3 linked regions of the Oryzias latipes genome follow. The protein of the gene in region 2 interacts with the protein of the main gene of each other region in a pairwise test. Links are inferred from orthologs where the notes say so. Each region holds a gene or a part of one and is shown on either strand. Other genes may lie near its edges.

Region 1 (4,881 bases), on a different chromosome or scaffold from region 2:
GACTACTGTCTATTGTATTGCAATCAACCAACTTTTCTTTTTTTCTGCAAAACAAGCCGTCCCAGAGCTCCTGGGTTTTTTATATATATATACACATACGTGAACATTTTCACACTTTTCTCTTGCTTAAACTCTCAAGGTTCAAACCTTCATAGAAATATAAGTCCAGTAAAATAGAATGAAAACAAAGCTTTGATCGCGATAGAACATTTATGTAGATCAGGCAAACTCGACGCATTCTGTACAGCAGACATGGCAAGCAAAAGAGGTTGACAAAGTTAACAGCCAATCAGGACGCAGAATACTGTATGCTCTTTAAAACAAAAAAAGAAGCATGCACGGAAATTCATTTTGCAAAACGGCCATACTGCAAAAGGTGAGCCACAATATAGGGAGGGAACACTATATATAAACTGAAAGATTTATAGGGTTTTAAAAGAATCCATAGAACTATTTTATGCCTTGAAGTAACTTTAAATGTATTCTTAATCCTGCAGTTGATTTTTAGTCCTTTTTCTTTTATCAGGTACTGGTTGAGTGGAAGGAGAATCATCAACTATATAACTCCTGTGAACATGTAATACTGCTTCCTTGTTTCAAAACGGTCATACTGGTCCTGCTGGTGCTTGTAACGAAACACTTCCTTTTTCACCCTGAGGATGACATTCCCTGGTATTGTGTTGTGGATTTATTAGAAAATGCTTAAGCTTTGCTCAACGTAGTTTTGCAAACTGTAAGATTTGGTCTTTTGATGGAAACTTGCCGGTTCTATAATATTTGAGTTCCACATGCTCAATGAACATGTACCCTCTCACCCCGATTCTCACTCTCGTGCTTGTAATGTATCCTCTTTGATGTCCTCCATCCTTATCCTGCCTTTTTTTCCCTTTCTCTGTTTAGTATGGAGCAGAGTTTCGCCGGTTCTCAGTGGACCGGGTCAAACCTGGAAGGTTCGAGGAGTTCTACAAGCTCCTTTTGCACATTCACCGCATTGCTAATATGGAGATGATGATTGGCTATGCCGATGTCCATGGGGACCTGCTGCCGATAAACAACGACGACAACTTTTGCAAAGCGGTGTCGACTGCTCATCCACTCCTCAGGATATTCATACAGAGACAAGGTACACTTTCTTAACTATCACCTTGTTTAATCCGGTTTTAAGGCAATCGACATTCATTAGGCCTATCTTTACAACTGTCTCAAAATCCTCTGCAATTACCGTGCCCGCAGCTTCTTTGTAGCTGCATCATCTGCAGCAATCTTTGTGATTAAACCACCTTTCCCCACAGAGTATTTCTTCATCTGGTAATTCCTGCCTTGAGGCTTTTTGTTGTCTTCTGGCAAGACTTTATTCGTGTGTCTACTTACATGTTTCCTGCACTCTTATTCGCTGGATCACTCCCAGTCTGAGTTGTTGTCTGTCTACCCAGCTAAACCCTGTGCCTCGGTCAAAGGAAGGGCTTGCAGGCAGATAAACACACACACAAATGTACACACAGACATCGGTGCCTTGGCAGCCCCATAGAAATCAGGTCATTGAGCAAAGCCTGAATCCTGGCATACCAGACATTACTGGGAGACAAAAGATCTGCATGAAAAGGAGACTCCTGACTGAGTGCTCTGCCTTTGGGAGCTTCTGTGCGTCTACATGCGAGCATGTATTTGTTTAAATATGTAGACGGAGTCCGTTCTCTGTCTCTTTTACCGATCCCTGCTATGGAGCGAGTCTTGACTGCTCGCCAACGATCCAGCAAGCACACAAATGAATCCTTCAACATTCAGATTCATTCTTGGTGGTGGGATGAACATGTACACTCCAGGGTTTTGTTTTAATTACCGTCCAGGGGTTTGAGAACAAAAGACATCCTGAGTGAATTGAACAAGTTTGTAGTAGATTTCCATCATGAAATTAGGAAATTATACAGAAGGGGCCCAATTGAGACCCATTTACTCTTTAGACCCCAAATGGTCAAAGCTGAACTTACTTATTAAAATTTGAGTAGTAATTTACTACCACTACAAATAAAATCCTTTTTCTATTATGAATTAGGAGTTTAAAGGTAAACATGCTTACACTGGACCCATAATCTTTGACATCACTTCAAAAATGAAGCCCAACATGGGTTATTGACTGGAGTTTACCCCGAGCACCTCAACAATTTCCCCAAAACTCTAATTGGATGGGAAAAAGTAACGTTTTTAGCAAAAGTAACTGATCCAATGCATTCATGTGCTGGTCCCAAGCCAGGTGAATATAGAGGGTTGTGTAAAAAACGGCATCTGACATAAAACCAAAGCCAAATCAGATATGCAAATTGTGATTTGCTGTGGGGACCTCTATGACCTCGTTTCCACTGAGCAGGACGGTACGGTATTTTGAGCATTTCTGTTCTAAAATGGACCAATTAAGCCAGATCAAACCATACCACTTTTTGGCCCCCGGTAGTTGTAGGTCCATAGAAAAATGGAACGTTGCTACTGTTGAACCAAGAAAGCGCTTTTGTTGCCCGCAATCTTCTCTCAAACAACATTAAATGCTTTGTATATACAAAATGGCAAAAGCCAAGCAGAAAAAATGTGCCGCTGGATGACTGTTGTTGTTGTTAGCTCCACCTGCGCCGGAACGGTCCAGCTTTGAGTGAAAACGCTTTCCTGAATGGCTCGGACCATTCTAAACTGGACCATACCATACTGCTCAGTGGAAACAAGGCTTTGAAGGAGCTACCAAAAGTCAAAGAAGAAAGTCAAGTTTGGACTTTGTTGGGGTCCCTTCATGAGACCACTGAACTATTGAAAGCCCCTCCCCCCATCAATGCAGAAATAATTTCAAATCAATCTAAATTTAGATAAGATTTGTTCTAATTGCTGTTCAGTTTTGTAAGAACATTAGTTTTTTCTTTTTTTTTTTTAAACCATTGAATTACTTGACGGTTCGGGTCAGTATCATTCAAATTAAGATTTATATTATTTAAAGACTTTTGACTTGTATCACTTTATCAATTCTTACTTGACATTGTGTTTTAAATAGCTGACTAATGTGTTCTTTTCAACATCAGAGCTATTTCACTAACGCATGAGCAAATGTTTCCTGCTAATGCGACTTTCTGGAAATGGCTGGTCCGGGACCAGAGTCACAAATTTCGTTTTATCCCTCTGGTGAAATGTCAATAAAGATATCCTCGAATCCCTTGAATTCTATTTAGTGTTTTTCTGGTTTAACCTTTACACTGCTGTGTAGTTTTGAGGAATAGGATGTTGATGTATTGTTAGTCTGCAGATTATTTTGTTAGTTGTTCAACAGAGAGATGAGTGAAGCCCGGAGGACCTCGTGACATGCCCTTCACCCCTGCAGCTCACAACATAAGCAAATGTGTGCGTTTGTGATGAAGACTGTAACAGACGGTGCCAGTGCGGGTCGTCAGTGGGGACTTCTTTGTCCCATCGTCACCCCAGTAGGAGAAGAAAGGCTTTCGTCACAAATGAGAAAACAGTGACTGCACATGTCACTAAGACTTCAAAATAAAACTACTGCTATCAGCTTAGTAGAATGCTTTTCCCCTTGAAATTGAGAGATTGTAAAATTAGTGATTACTAAAAATCAAAAAATGGCTCCCAAAAAGTTAAGCATTTAATGGGGATGAGGGTAAAATTAGTAAATAATTCCCATGCACATCTAAAAAAGGCTGCTTACTTCTATTCCCAGATTATGGTCACTTATAAAAGGAATAAATATTCAGTCCATTTTTTGTGCTCTATTGTAGTTATTCTTTCATTTTAAATCGCTTTTTCACAAAAAGTGGACTATTTGATATGTGGTGCGATGTGTGGAAATGGCTGAGCCGGCACCTCGACTGCAGTGGCAAAGGAAAGCGATATACATGCTGATCGTCACGATGGCTTAAATAAAGCATCAGTTCAGAAAGTTCACCTCTTACCGCTTGTTTTAGTCCAGATGATGAAGCTAAAGTTTCTTTCAAAGAAGCCAGCGCAGTGATAGGTTATGTGACCGGAACTTCTTTTTTAGTTGTGCACTATCACTGTGGTTGATTTAATCCACACCCGCAACGGCGTAAAGCTGTTTTTCTCCGCACCAGAATCATCTGATTTGCATTGATTGCATCAGTACCTCGCTATTGTAAAGAGCTTCATATCATTACAAGGCTGCTTTTCTCCAGTTGAGAATACTTGTAAATGGTTGAAGAGTTATGGTAGTCCTAAGAATCTCAACATTGGAGCTAAAACTCTGGTCTTTGAATTTTAATGAGCTGAGAAGCAAACCCATTCTCTACTGTAACGCCAGAATACCATTTAGCTTCCTGTGTGTGTGTGTGTGTGTACGCATCCTTTTCAGCTTATGCCCCCATTAACAATGGCTACTTCAACATGTGCTCATCTCTTTTATCTACCTGACACTCCCTTCCAGGCTTAGATTTCCTTTGTAGGTAAAATCTCTTAAGCACGTGCCATCCCTTTGTGGAGATACAATGATAAGTTTCTCCCCGGTGGGTACACTTTTTTTTTTTTTTTTGCTTTTGTTGGCTGACGGCCGTCACCCAGAAAATACATGTTTGTACTTCATAGCTTAAATTTAAGAATACATAGTAACCTCTCAGTAAAGATAATTACATTGCACTTGTTTCCACTTAGAATAACGACATGTTTCCTGGTAACAATGGGATTGTTACCTTTGTGTATTTGTTTTGAATTGGATTAAATGGATCTTAGACATGGAAGTTACTTCAATCTAAAGTTAAATTCAGGTGTTTACTTCTGGATAAAATCTGTGTTTTGGTTTTATACTTTCTTGCAGAGTCTGGTGTAATATTTTCATCTCAGGAAACCTGCAAGAATGTGCTTTTTTCATATTCTCCTTGAAAC
Region 2 (4,881 bases):
TGCACAGATGATCTCTATAAATGTTTTATTTTGTTCTGCAGACCTTAAAAACACCTTTAGAAGAAATTCTTTGTCCCCGTTTGGGGAAAACCAGAACATCTGAGGCTGAGAAGCAACAATCCAGAAAAAAGACAGAACAGGAGAGATGATCAATGATTGATTCATCTGATCCATAAATCAGTTTAATTGTTCTGGTACTTGAATCAGGAAAAAATCACTTTCTGTTGGTTTTTAATGTAATTAAAATTTCATCTTTTTACAGTTTATAATTTAAACTAGTTTTAAAACCTGAAAATTATAAACTGGTGAATCAGAATCACTCTGGTTCTGGATTTTGACAGTGACACTTTTTTTTTATTTCCTCCTTTTATCAAAGGATGTTTAGAATTATCGAAGTGTAAAAATGTTTTCTTAACGTCTTTAAAGTGTTGATGGTCCGTCTGTCTGCTCTCCAGGATGAGAAGTAAAGTTTGTTTTTGGTTAAAATGAATCGTGAAGGCGCGGGCCGGGTCGGGTCCGTCTGCGGGTTGGGTCCGTCTGCGGGTCGGGTTCTCTCTGTAGGTCGGGCCCGTCTGTGGTTCGGGCTGGGTTCTCTCTGTAGGTCGGGTCCGTCTGCGGGTTGGGCTGGGTTCTCTCTGCGGCGTGGGCGGGGTCGGGTCCATCTGCAGGTCGGGTCCGTCTGCGGGCCGGGTCTGTCTGCGGGCCGGGCCGGGTTCTCTCTGTAGGTCGGGTCCGTCTGCGGCGTGGGTTGGGTCCGTCTGCGGGTTGGGTTGGGTCCGTCTGCGGGTTGGGCTGGGTTCTCTCTGCGGCGTGGGCGGGTCCGTCTGTGGGTCGGGTCCATCTGCAGGTCGTGTCCGTCTGCGGGCCGGGTCCGTCTGCGGGTCAGGTCCGTCTGCGGGTCGGGTTCTCTCTGTAGGTCGGGCCCGTCTGCGGGTCGGGCTGGGTTCTCTCTGTGGCGCGGGCCGGGTCAGGTTTGTCTGTCTGCTGCGGCGCGGGTCAGGTCTGTGTTTTTTCCAACCTGACAGCGTTTGTTCTGTGATGAAGGGGCGGCTGACGCACGGCGTGGTCAGAGTTGATCTCTGAACACTTGTGAGCAGCGGTTAGCCCTGATTAGACACACTTGGCTCAATGGATGAGCGGGTTTGGGTCGATGCTGAAGGGTTCCTCTGGCCTGCTCCGTCATCCCTGTTCATCTCAGACATCGGCGGTCTGGATCCTCCCGACTCGGCGCTCTTCTCCCACAGCCGCGGCAATAATGATCTTTGACTGACGTCTGGCTGGTTTCATCCTCCAGGACATCGACTGGGTCCAAACGGAGAAGCACGTCTTCGAGCAGGCGTCCAACCACCCCTTCCTGGTCGGCCTCCACTCCTGTTTCCAGACGGAGAGCAGGTGAGGACGAAGGAAACGCCTCCAATCATTCTGAGCCCTTTGATTGATGGACTTTTACCAAACCAATTGATTTTAATACGTTTTTTGAAGATTAAACTGACTCAATTACATCCTTATTATGAATCCTATTCGCAGTTTTGAAGAGAGATTTAGGAGTTTAGCATCCATCACATCAGATTTATACCTCTCATTATTTCTGACCATAATATTTTCTCTCTGGTAGTCAGGAAGATGTAAACTTTATTATCCAAATTTGTTGCTTTGTTTAAAGTCAGAGAAAAAACGAACAAAGTGTGACGGTCTGACGGATCCGTCCAGAGTGTCCGTGTTTCTGCAGCTCTCCTGTCGGGAACATCCTGGCATTTGCCGCCGTGTCTGTGCAGACCGGTGACGTCCTCCTCTTTGTCCGCAGACTCTTCTTCGTCATCGAGTACGTGAACGGCGGAGATCTCATGTTCCACATGCAGAGGCAGAGGAAGCTTCCGGAGGAGCACGCCCGGTAAGGCCCCCCTCCCCGGGTCGGTGAGAACCTCCTCGCGGTGCGGGCTCCTTACTGACGCTGGCTGCTCCTGTCAGGTTCTACTCGGCTGAGATCAGCCTGGCGCTGAACTACCTGCACGAGCGAGGGATCATCTACAGAGACCTGAAGCTGGACAACGTGCTGCTGGACTCTGAGGGACACATCAAGCTCACCGACTACGGCATGTGCAAGGTGGGGATGGCAGCGTACCGTGAACGATGACCCCCGCCCCGGTGTGCAAAAGTCTGACAGGAAGTCAAAGCTTTTGTGCTTTTGCAGGAGGGCCTGAGGCCCGGCGATACGACCAGCACGTTCTGCGGCACCCCCAACTACATCGCCCCCGAGATACTGCGAGGCGAGGATTACGGTGAGAGAGGCGGAGAGCGGGGGGAGGGCGCCGCCCGGGGGGTTTATTTTCTGGAAAACGGCGATGTGACCCGGACAGCCACGGTCTGCGGGTTCTCCGCCACAGCAACCGGACAAGAGCTTCAGCCGCGGTAAAAATAGACTCCGGCCTGGTAACCACGGCGGTGTCATGGCGACCAGCTCCTCTAAAAATAAAAGCAGTCAGAAATGTTTCACCCGCAGACACGAGCTGCTCTGTAACGTGACCGAAGTGATGCATGACGCTCCTCACAACCTGAGCCTCACGGCTTCCTGTAGAAATGTTCCTGAGCCCCGTCGTGATGTCAAAGGTTCAAATCCCAAAGACGGCAGACGAGCCGAGCCAAAGTCCCGTCACGCCTCATTTCCCAACAGTTTTTTGAGGCCGTTGAACAGAGGAGGATCCTGACGGTTGTTCCTGTTCCACTTTCTCTGAGCTGTTGGGGATTTTTTCCAGAACACTTTTGTCATTTTATGGTTCTGATTTGAAAGCATTTTACGGGAAGATTTCATTCAAGCATGCTCACCTGAGAAGAGTTTATCCAGACGTGTGATTGAAGGAGAAGTGTGTCTACAGGCGCTTTACTGGCACACAAGACTCACTTTTGTGTTGTTTTAACCAGTTTTTTCTATTTACAGTTTTTTTATTGTCTTCACGTTTTTTAACCCCTTTTTTTAATTTTTTTTATTTTAGGTATTTTTTCTTTATTTCTTGTTGGGTTTTTAACTCGTTTTTGTTATTTGGTCAGTTTTTGTTTTTTACATGTTTTTTTTGTGTTTTTAAGCCATTTTTGTGTGTTTATAAACCTGCATTTGTGTTTCCTGCACTCGTTTTTGTCGACATGTCCGTCCGCTCCGAGCCCATCGCTCATCGTTTCTGACGGCGTGTGTTGCAGGCTTCAGCGTGGACTGGTGGGCGCTGGGCGTGCTGATGTTCGAGATGATGGCGGGCCGCTCGCCGTTCGACATTGTCGGCAGCTCTGATAACCCGGACCAGAACACAGAAGACTATCTCTTCCAGGGTAAAACGGCGTTGTGGTTCGGGGGGGTGGGGGGCGGCAGCGTGGAAACACCTTCTTATCGACACCTTTGTCGCAGATTCTCTCAGCGCCAGGCGCACGCCATCTGTTCCAGGAAATGTGTGAATGCGTCCTCCCCTCTTCTTTAAACCTGCTCTCAAACTGTCAGCTGTTTGTTTCTGCAGGAACGGCGAAGCTTGGCGGCGAGATGCTGCTCTCCTCTCACGTCTGAAATTCTCCTTTTTCCCTGCAGTGATACTGAACAAACAGATCAGAATTCCCCGCTCGCTGTCCGTCAAAGCCGCCAGCGTCCTCAAGGGGTTCCTCAACAAGGTAAGGAGGGTTTGGGCCTGAAACCGCCGCCGCCACCTGTCTCCGTCTCTTTCTGTCCTCTGAGGTGATCGTTCCTCTTTCAGACTCCAGAGCGTTTTAACTTCCTGGATTCACGTCCGACCGAAGGTTCAGGCAGCGCCACGGCCCTGAACTAAACAGAAAAACAAAGTGGCGAGCACGTTTGAGCGCAGGAGCGGCTTCACGCTTATTCCTAATTGTATTGTTGTTTACTTTTAAACTTTTAATAAAGAAAATGTTGGTAAAAACATTATCAAAAACGTGAAAGGCCCCCAGAGGTGTCCCCACCCCCCAGTAAAGAGTTTTATGCCAACTTTCAGCTGATTTTAGAACATTTCTCCCAGAGAAATGACAGAAATCTTCCAGTTTGGACAAAGAACATTTGGAGGATTTAGACCGTTTCAACTTTTCTCTTGAAGACAGTTCTGCTTGTTAAGCGTCTCCAGTCACTTTGGTGAAACCAGAGAAACGCGTCTGAAAAGCCTCATTTTATAGGTTTGGGAGAATCTGGTAGCTTTCATTGATTCTAAACACTAATGAGAAATTCTTGCATTTAAATTAAACATCATCTCCCAAAAAAAGAAGAAAAAAAATAGTGGTCTACTGACTCAGACTATCGGGTCTTTGAGCTGTTTGACGCCGTTGTGCTTTTCTGGCTGCTGCCTCTCCGCCTCCATCACCCTCCACCCTCACCCCCTTTCAACTCCCCCCAGGATCCCAAGGAGCGCCTGGGCTGCCATCCTCAGACCGGCTTCGCTGACATCACGGGTCATCCGTTCTTCAGGAACGTGGACTGGGATCTTGTAAGCCACTTTTGTCTTTGTTGGCGTGTTTTGGTTGGTGGCGTTCTGGTGGCGTTCTGGAAGGTGGAGCCCCCCCCCGCTCAGTAGCTGGTGACTGAAAATCCTCCCATGTTTCAGCCGTTTCCTGTTCCTGCTCCTCCAGCGAGTCATTAACGTTTACGACTTCCTGCGCCGTAAATAACGCCGGAGTCTCGCCGGAGCTGGACTGAAGCGTAACTGTGTCACACGCCGACTTCACTGGCGTGCGACAGCAGGGATCGCCGTGACCTCTTTTCCCTGCATGCTCTGGGGGAGGGACCTGGCAGTTGGTCACAGTGTCTGGTCAGATCCGCTTACCCCACCACCACACAGTTTGAGCTGCACTTCGGCCTCTGGCCTGCAGGGGGAGCAGCAGCTGGACTCGTGATCCGTG
Region 3 (4,914 bases), on a different chromosome or scaffold from region 2:
AGTCCAAACTTAAAATTTTACAAACAGTATTTTTACAGAAATAAAGAAAATACGCAGAAAACAATCAGAATTCCCTGCAGTTATTCCGTATCTGAGAGAGTTTCTTCTTTGAGGAGATTTTTCTCTTTTCTGTTGTATTTTTAATCTGTAAATAATGACTTAACTTTGTTTAATCGCTCAGAAACATCGATTCCCATTTGACTGCAGCTCTTCTTGTGGTTTCATGTATGATTGATGGTCCTCTTCAGGCTTGCGTCAGAGGTTCAGAGTAGAGATAGACGGATAATTCATCTTCAGGTGGACCGGGGAGGTCATTCACAGACGGCGTCGGGTAATTTCTGGATGGCAGCTTGTTGTTTTTGTGTTTTTCTGAAGAAAAAGCACCTTTAGTATGTTCATGATTACGAGCGATGCCTCAGGTTTAAAGACGAGATGATGCAAAAGAAATCTGGCGTGGGTAATACTTTGATCTGAAAGTTTTTAATGGAAAATTAATCATTTGTTTCTTTCCTCTTCCTCCTTTTGTCTTTCTTCTCTTCTGTTCTTCCTCTTGGGTTTTGCAGAAGAAGCTGAAAACACGTTTGCTACAGACCCGCTGACCAGGAAGAAGAACACGGTCCTTTCTGCGGTTCTTCTGAGGCCGGACGCCACCAGGAAGAAGCACCCGGTGATCATCAGCCTCCCGAAAGACTTCCGCCCGGTGTCGTCCATCATCGACGTGGACATCCTTCCGGAGACGCACAGACGCGTGCGCCTGTACAAGCACGGCCAGGAGAAGCCGCTGGGTTTCTACATCCGCGACGGCTCCAGCGTGCGGGTCACTCCGCAGGGTCTGGAGAAGGTCCCGGCCATATTCATCTCCCGCCTGGTTCCTGGCGGGCTGGCGGAGAGCACCGGCCTGCTGGCGGTAAACGATGAGGTCCTGGAGGTGAACGGCATCGAGGTGGCCGGCAAATCTCTGGATCAGGTGACGGACATGATGATCGCGAACAGCCACAACCTCATCATTACAGTGAAGCCCGCCAACCAGAGGAACAATGTCGTTCGGAGCGGAGGGGGCGGGGCTGCATCTGGTAGTTCAGGGCGGTCGTCGGACAGCGGCGCCAGCTGCTACGGCTACTCCACGCACGGCGCCACGGCCTCCATGCCTTCACACATCATCCAGAACTTCTCCGCTGGGGAGCTGGAAAGCGACGAAGACGAAGAAGACCTGGTGATCGAGGCTGGCGGCGAGGCCGAGCCCATCAGACGCACCTCCTCCACATACAGCATGCCCTCTATGCCTCGCTACGAACCACACCTCAACCTCCGCACCGCCTTCACTTCCGCCTCCGCCTTCTCCATCCACACCAACGGGACTCTGCCCGCCAGCAACAGCAGCGGATCGCTGAATCACGCCGACGCCAATTCAGCCACGCCGTCGCCAGACAGGGTCAGGCGGAGCCTGGAGGAGGAGGGCACCGTAATAACGCTGTAGCCTCAGCACTGACTGAACTGTCCTGGGAAGGAAACACTCAGGGGGGGGGGGGTAAGGCATCACAGACCAGAAAATAAAACCCCCCTTTGCCCCCGTCAGGCAGCGACTGTTCCAGAGAAACACTAGCGTCACACCGACACCTCCATGCAGAAACGTGAAGGAAAACACTACACTTCTCTACATGCCAATGATCATGCATGTGTGCCAAAGAGGTGACACCCCCTCCGCACCCCCAGCTCCATAGAAATGTGAAAGAAGAAACACAAAAGTCTAGTTTAGCCCCCAGAAGCAGTTATTTTCTCAGTAGTTTTGTTTTTGTTAGCCAGCTCCTTTTTTCTCTGGTAACCCCCCACCCCACCCCCCACCTGTAGCTTTACAGCATAAATAGTTCTATTCAAATCTACTTAAGTCGGTGACATGTCAGTCAACCAAATCTTCAGTTCTACTGCTTTTAGGAAACGCTCGCTCTGCGACGCTTTTAGACGAATCTTTGTACCTCTCTGTAAAACGGACGGACCCACTAAGATGGCTTTTTTTAATGACAAAGCTTTAGTTCAGCCGGTACTGAGATTGCATTTTTAAAATTCAGAAACTGACAAATGTCTGCAAATGTGACTCCTGCACATTTTCTACAAAACCTGTCGCGATGTTTAGCATTTCTGCCCTCATTTCTTTCTGGACCACGTTTTAATGTGTTTCTTAATTTAATTTTATGCTGCATTTAAAGTCCCACTCCGATCATCTTGTCATCTATGTTCAAAGCGATCCCATTGGTCCTTTAAGTATAATTATGCAGTTTTTAGTCAAAATTGGTTAAGAAATTGTGTCGTTTTGTAGGACATAGTTTCTGCAGAGCGGCAGGAGTTCATTAGAAATTCAGCCCAGAGTTGTGGGTAGGATTTTTGGTGCAGAGCAACACCGCCCCCCTTTCCATCCCCATTGCTAAGCAGAGCAGGGAGCTCGTGGCTTGGAAATGCAATGTTAAGCTTAATTTTCTTTATATATTTGTCCTCCATACTTAGAAAAATGGCACAAGAATGTGTCAAAAACACGATTTGCATGGGACTTGAATGTTTTCAATACCTGTTTGCCTATGGAAAGTTTTATTCTCCAACATGCTTCTGTTAGAGCTCTATTCTGAGCGAATGACTTGCATTAAAACACCCACATTAATATTTATTTTAGTTGGTCATTTGACGCAGTGAGTCCCTGAAAACACACCCTGAGAAGCAAACACACATCCAGCCACACAAAATAATAACATTTCCATGTTTGTTAAAGGTGAGGCGGAGCCGTTTGCTCTCACCTGTGCTTTGCTGTCATTGGCTGTTCATTAAGTTCTTAATCATGAAGCAGATTCATTTATCAGAAGACCTTTTGCACATTGCTGCCAACTGCTTTGCAGGTGTCTTTGTTTTGTTTGTACCTGTTTATTTTTAGCACACCTTTGCTCTGAAGTGCTAAGTTCCATTGAAAGACATTCAGAGTTGTGTAAACACGCTAACGGTAGGAATGTCTGCGTTTGTAGGGAAACAATAATCATCTATAGATGAATCCATATTATCCGTACGACACTCTCTTTAGCCACAAGCTCAGTGCTGAAGCGAACTGTCCTGTTTGGATTTGGGAGCAAAAGCTGGTGGGTCTTCTTTCATTGCCAGCGTTCATCTAAATCTTTTACTAATCACTGTAATTTATTTACTGCATATCTAACTTCATCACGTGGCACTGGAATTGTAACCACAGCAACAGTTTTATTTATTCCACTATTTTTTGTCTGCTTTATTATTATTTTTTTTACAACAAAATCTTTTTCTGTGTATTCATGATTTTTCCCAAGGTACGATAGATTCCTTTAACCATTTACGCTCATTTAACTGGGTGATTTCAAGGCTTTTGTAAGGTATCAGATCTGTTGCTATTTTTTGATACTGTGAATTCTATTGGGGGGGGGGGGGGGGGATTAGCAACCTCAACATAGACAAATGTTTTAGACTGATTTTTGTTTTAATAATGGAGCAATGACTTTTGCTTGCCTGTTGAATCCTATGATATAGATTTGTAATGAATGTCAGTATTTTCATATCAATGCTGCATATGTTTTTATCACTATAAATAAGATGTACACACACAAACCAACAGGTGTAACTGCTGATGGTGGAGCTGGAAAAATAAACTAATATGTAGCAATATTTGCTGTTAAGTGTCGGTTGTATTTATGGGTAGCTGTGATGTTCAAAGTAGTTTGTTTTTTAAAGAAATGTGGGGGGAAACTGCAGATATCGTTTAATTAATTCTCATCATGGAGTTTGGCGCCATCTACTGGCTAAACGAAGTACTGATGGAAACCGGAAGTGCAGTCTACTACTCAAAATGTTAAAAATTAATTATATTTGTTTAATATGTAAATAAATTAACTTGAATTCTAGTCTATGGTTTATTTTAGGCGAGCTGTGAAGCCTAAAGTTTTCATTTCCAAGTGTGTGAGTTTTTGTCGAGACAGCTGAATGTCACGTGACGTGACGTCTAACCAGCATGGCGACGCTGAGCTGAGACAGGAACCCTGCTGGACACTGCGAGCCTGCCGTTCGTTAGCTTTCCTCGTCACCTGCAGCCGCGGGTCCTGGCGGAACATGACGGCCTGAGAGACCGAGCGATGCAGCAACCGCGGCCCCCGCAGCAGCACTCGCAGTCTGAGGCGGCAAACAACAAAACCAAGAGCATGTTTCTGTCCAGGGCGCTGGAGAAAATCCTCGCGGATAAGGAGGTGAAGAGGAGCCAGCACAGCCAGCTGCGGAAAGCCTGTCAGGTGGCGCTCGGTAGGTCGGTGTTTTGGTTTGGGACTCTGCTTTGGGGAAACCCGCGTGCGTGCCGTGTCTTTTCGCGCGTTTCAGTCGTTGTGTTTGTTGGAAACCGTAAGTTAGCTAGCTTTGCGCATGAACTGGCCTTGATCGGTGTGTTTTCTGTCTTTTTTGTCATAAAAACGGCGACGATCTCCATCGCTGCGTTTCCATCACCACCGTGTCTGCACGTAAAGTCGTTTTAATGACATTTAAGTCCGGGGACGTGAGCAGATAAACGGACGTAGATGTTGTTAGCGCGTGACAGCTAGTTAAGCTAGCTAAACAGACCAATCCCAGTGTTGTACGTAGCACTGCCGCCCGGTCAGACAGCCCGGTCCTGCCCTGCACCCACACGCAGGAGGCAGGACGAGGCCGCCTCCCTCCCGGATCCTCTGACGCTCCTGTTGCCCGGATAATGTCACACACATCACAACGTTCTGCTGTTTTAGGTGCCAGTGCTCATTAGAATAGTCTGCACAAAACCAGTGGATATATCATGGCACGTGCGATTCTGGCACGAGGCTGAACAGCTTCTAAAAGAGTCAGTCTGACTTTGTCAGGCTGTGGAAAGGCTTTAACTCTTCCTGAGTGGAG

What was found.
Region 1: the proteins of prkci (region 2) and partitioning defective 6 homolog gamma interact in binary tests that used the Homo sapiens proteins (3 or more experiments, as listed by UniProt). The link is inferred for Oryzias latipes from reciprocal best matches to the Homo sapiens genes PRKCI and PARD6G.
Region 3: the proteins of prkci (region 2) and pard6b interact in binary tests that used the Homo sapiens proteins (3 or more experiments, as listed by UniProt). The link is inferred for Oryzias latipes from reciprocal best matches to the Homo sapiens genes PRKCI and PARD6B.

The regions. Positions count from the first base shown.
Region 1 is NC_019869.2:23,950,920-23,955,800, forward strand, and holds part of partitioning defective 6 homolog gamma, read left to right. Parts: intron 1-900; coding exon 901-1,123; intron 1,124-4,881. UniProt on the Homo sapiens protein: Adapter protein involved in asymmetrical cell division and cell polarization processes. May play a role in the formation of epithelial tight junctions. The PARD6-PARD3 complex links GTP-bound Rho small GTPases to atypical protein kinase C proteins.
Region 2 is NC_019875.2:30,172,646-30,177,526, reverse strand, and holds part of prkci (protein kinase C iota type), read left to right. Parts: intron 1-1,294; coding exon 1,295-1,392; intron 1,393-1,804; coding exon 1,805-1,891; intron 1,892-1,968; coding exon 1,969-2,104; intron 2,105-2,191; coding exon 2,192-2,279; intron 2,280-3,192; coding exon 3,193-3,318; intron 3,319-3,568; coding exon 3,569-3,648; intron 3,649-4,379; coding exon 4,380-4,469; intron 4,470-4,881.
Region 3 is NC_019865.2:4,496,508-4,501,421, reverse strand, and holds the end of pard6b (partitioning defective 6 homolog beta), read left to right. Parts: intron 1-563; coding exon 564-1,477; 3' UTR 1,478-3,669; downstream 3,670-4,914. Other genes in the region: arfgef2 (brefeldin A-inhibited guanine nucleotide-exchange protein 2), read left to right, coding at 4,134-4,296. UniProt on the Homo sapiens protein: Adapter protein involved in asymmetrical cell division and cell polarization processes. Probably involved in formation of epithelial tight junctions.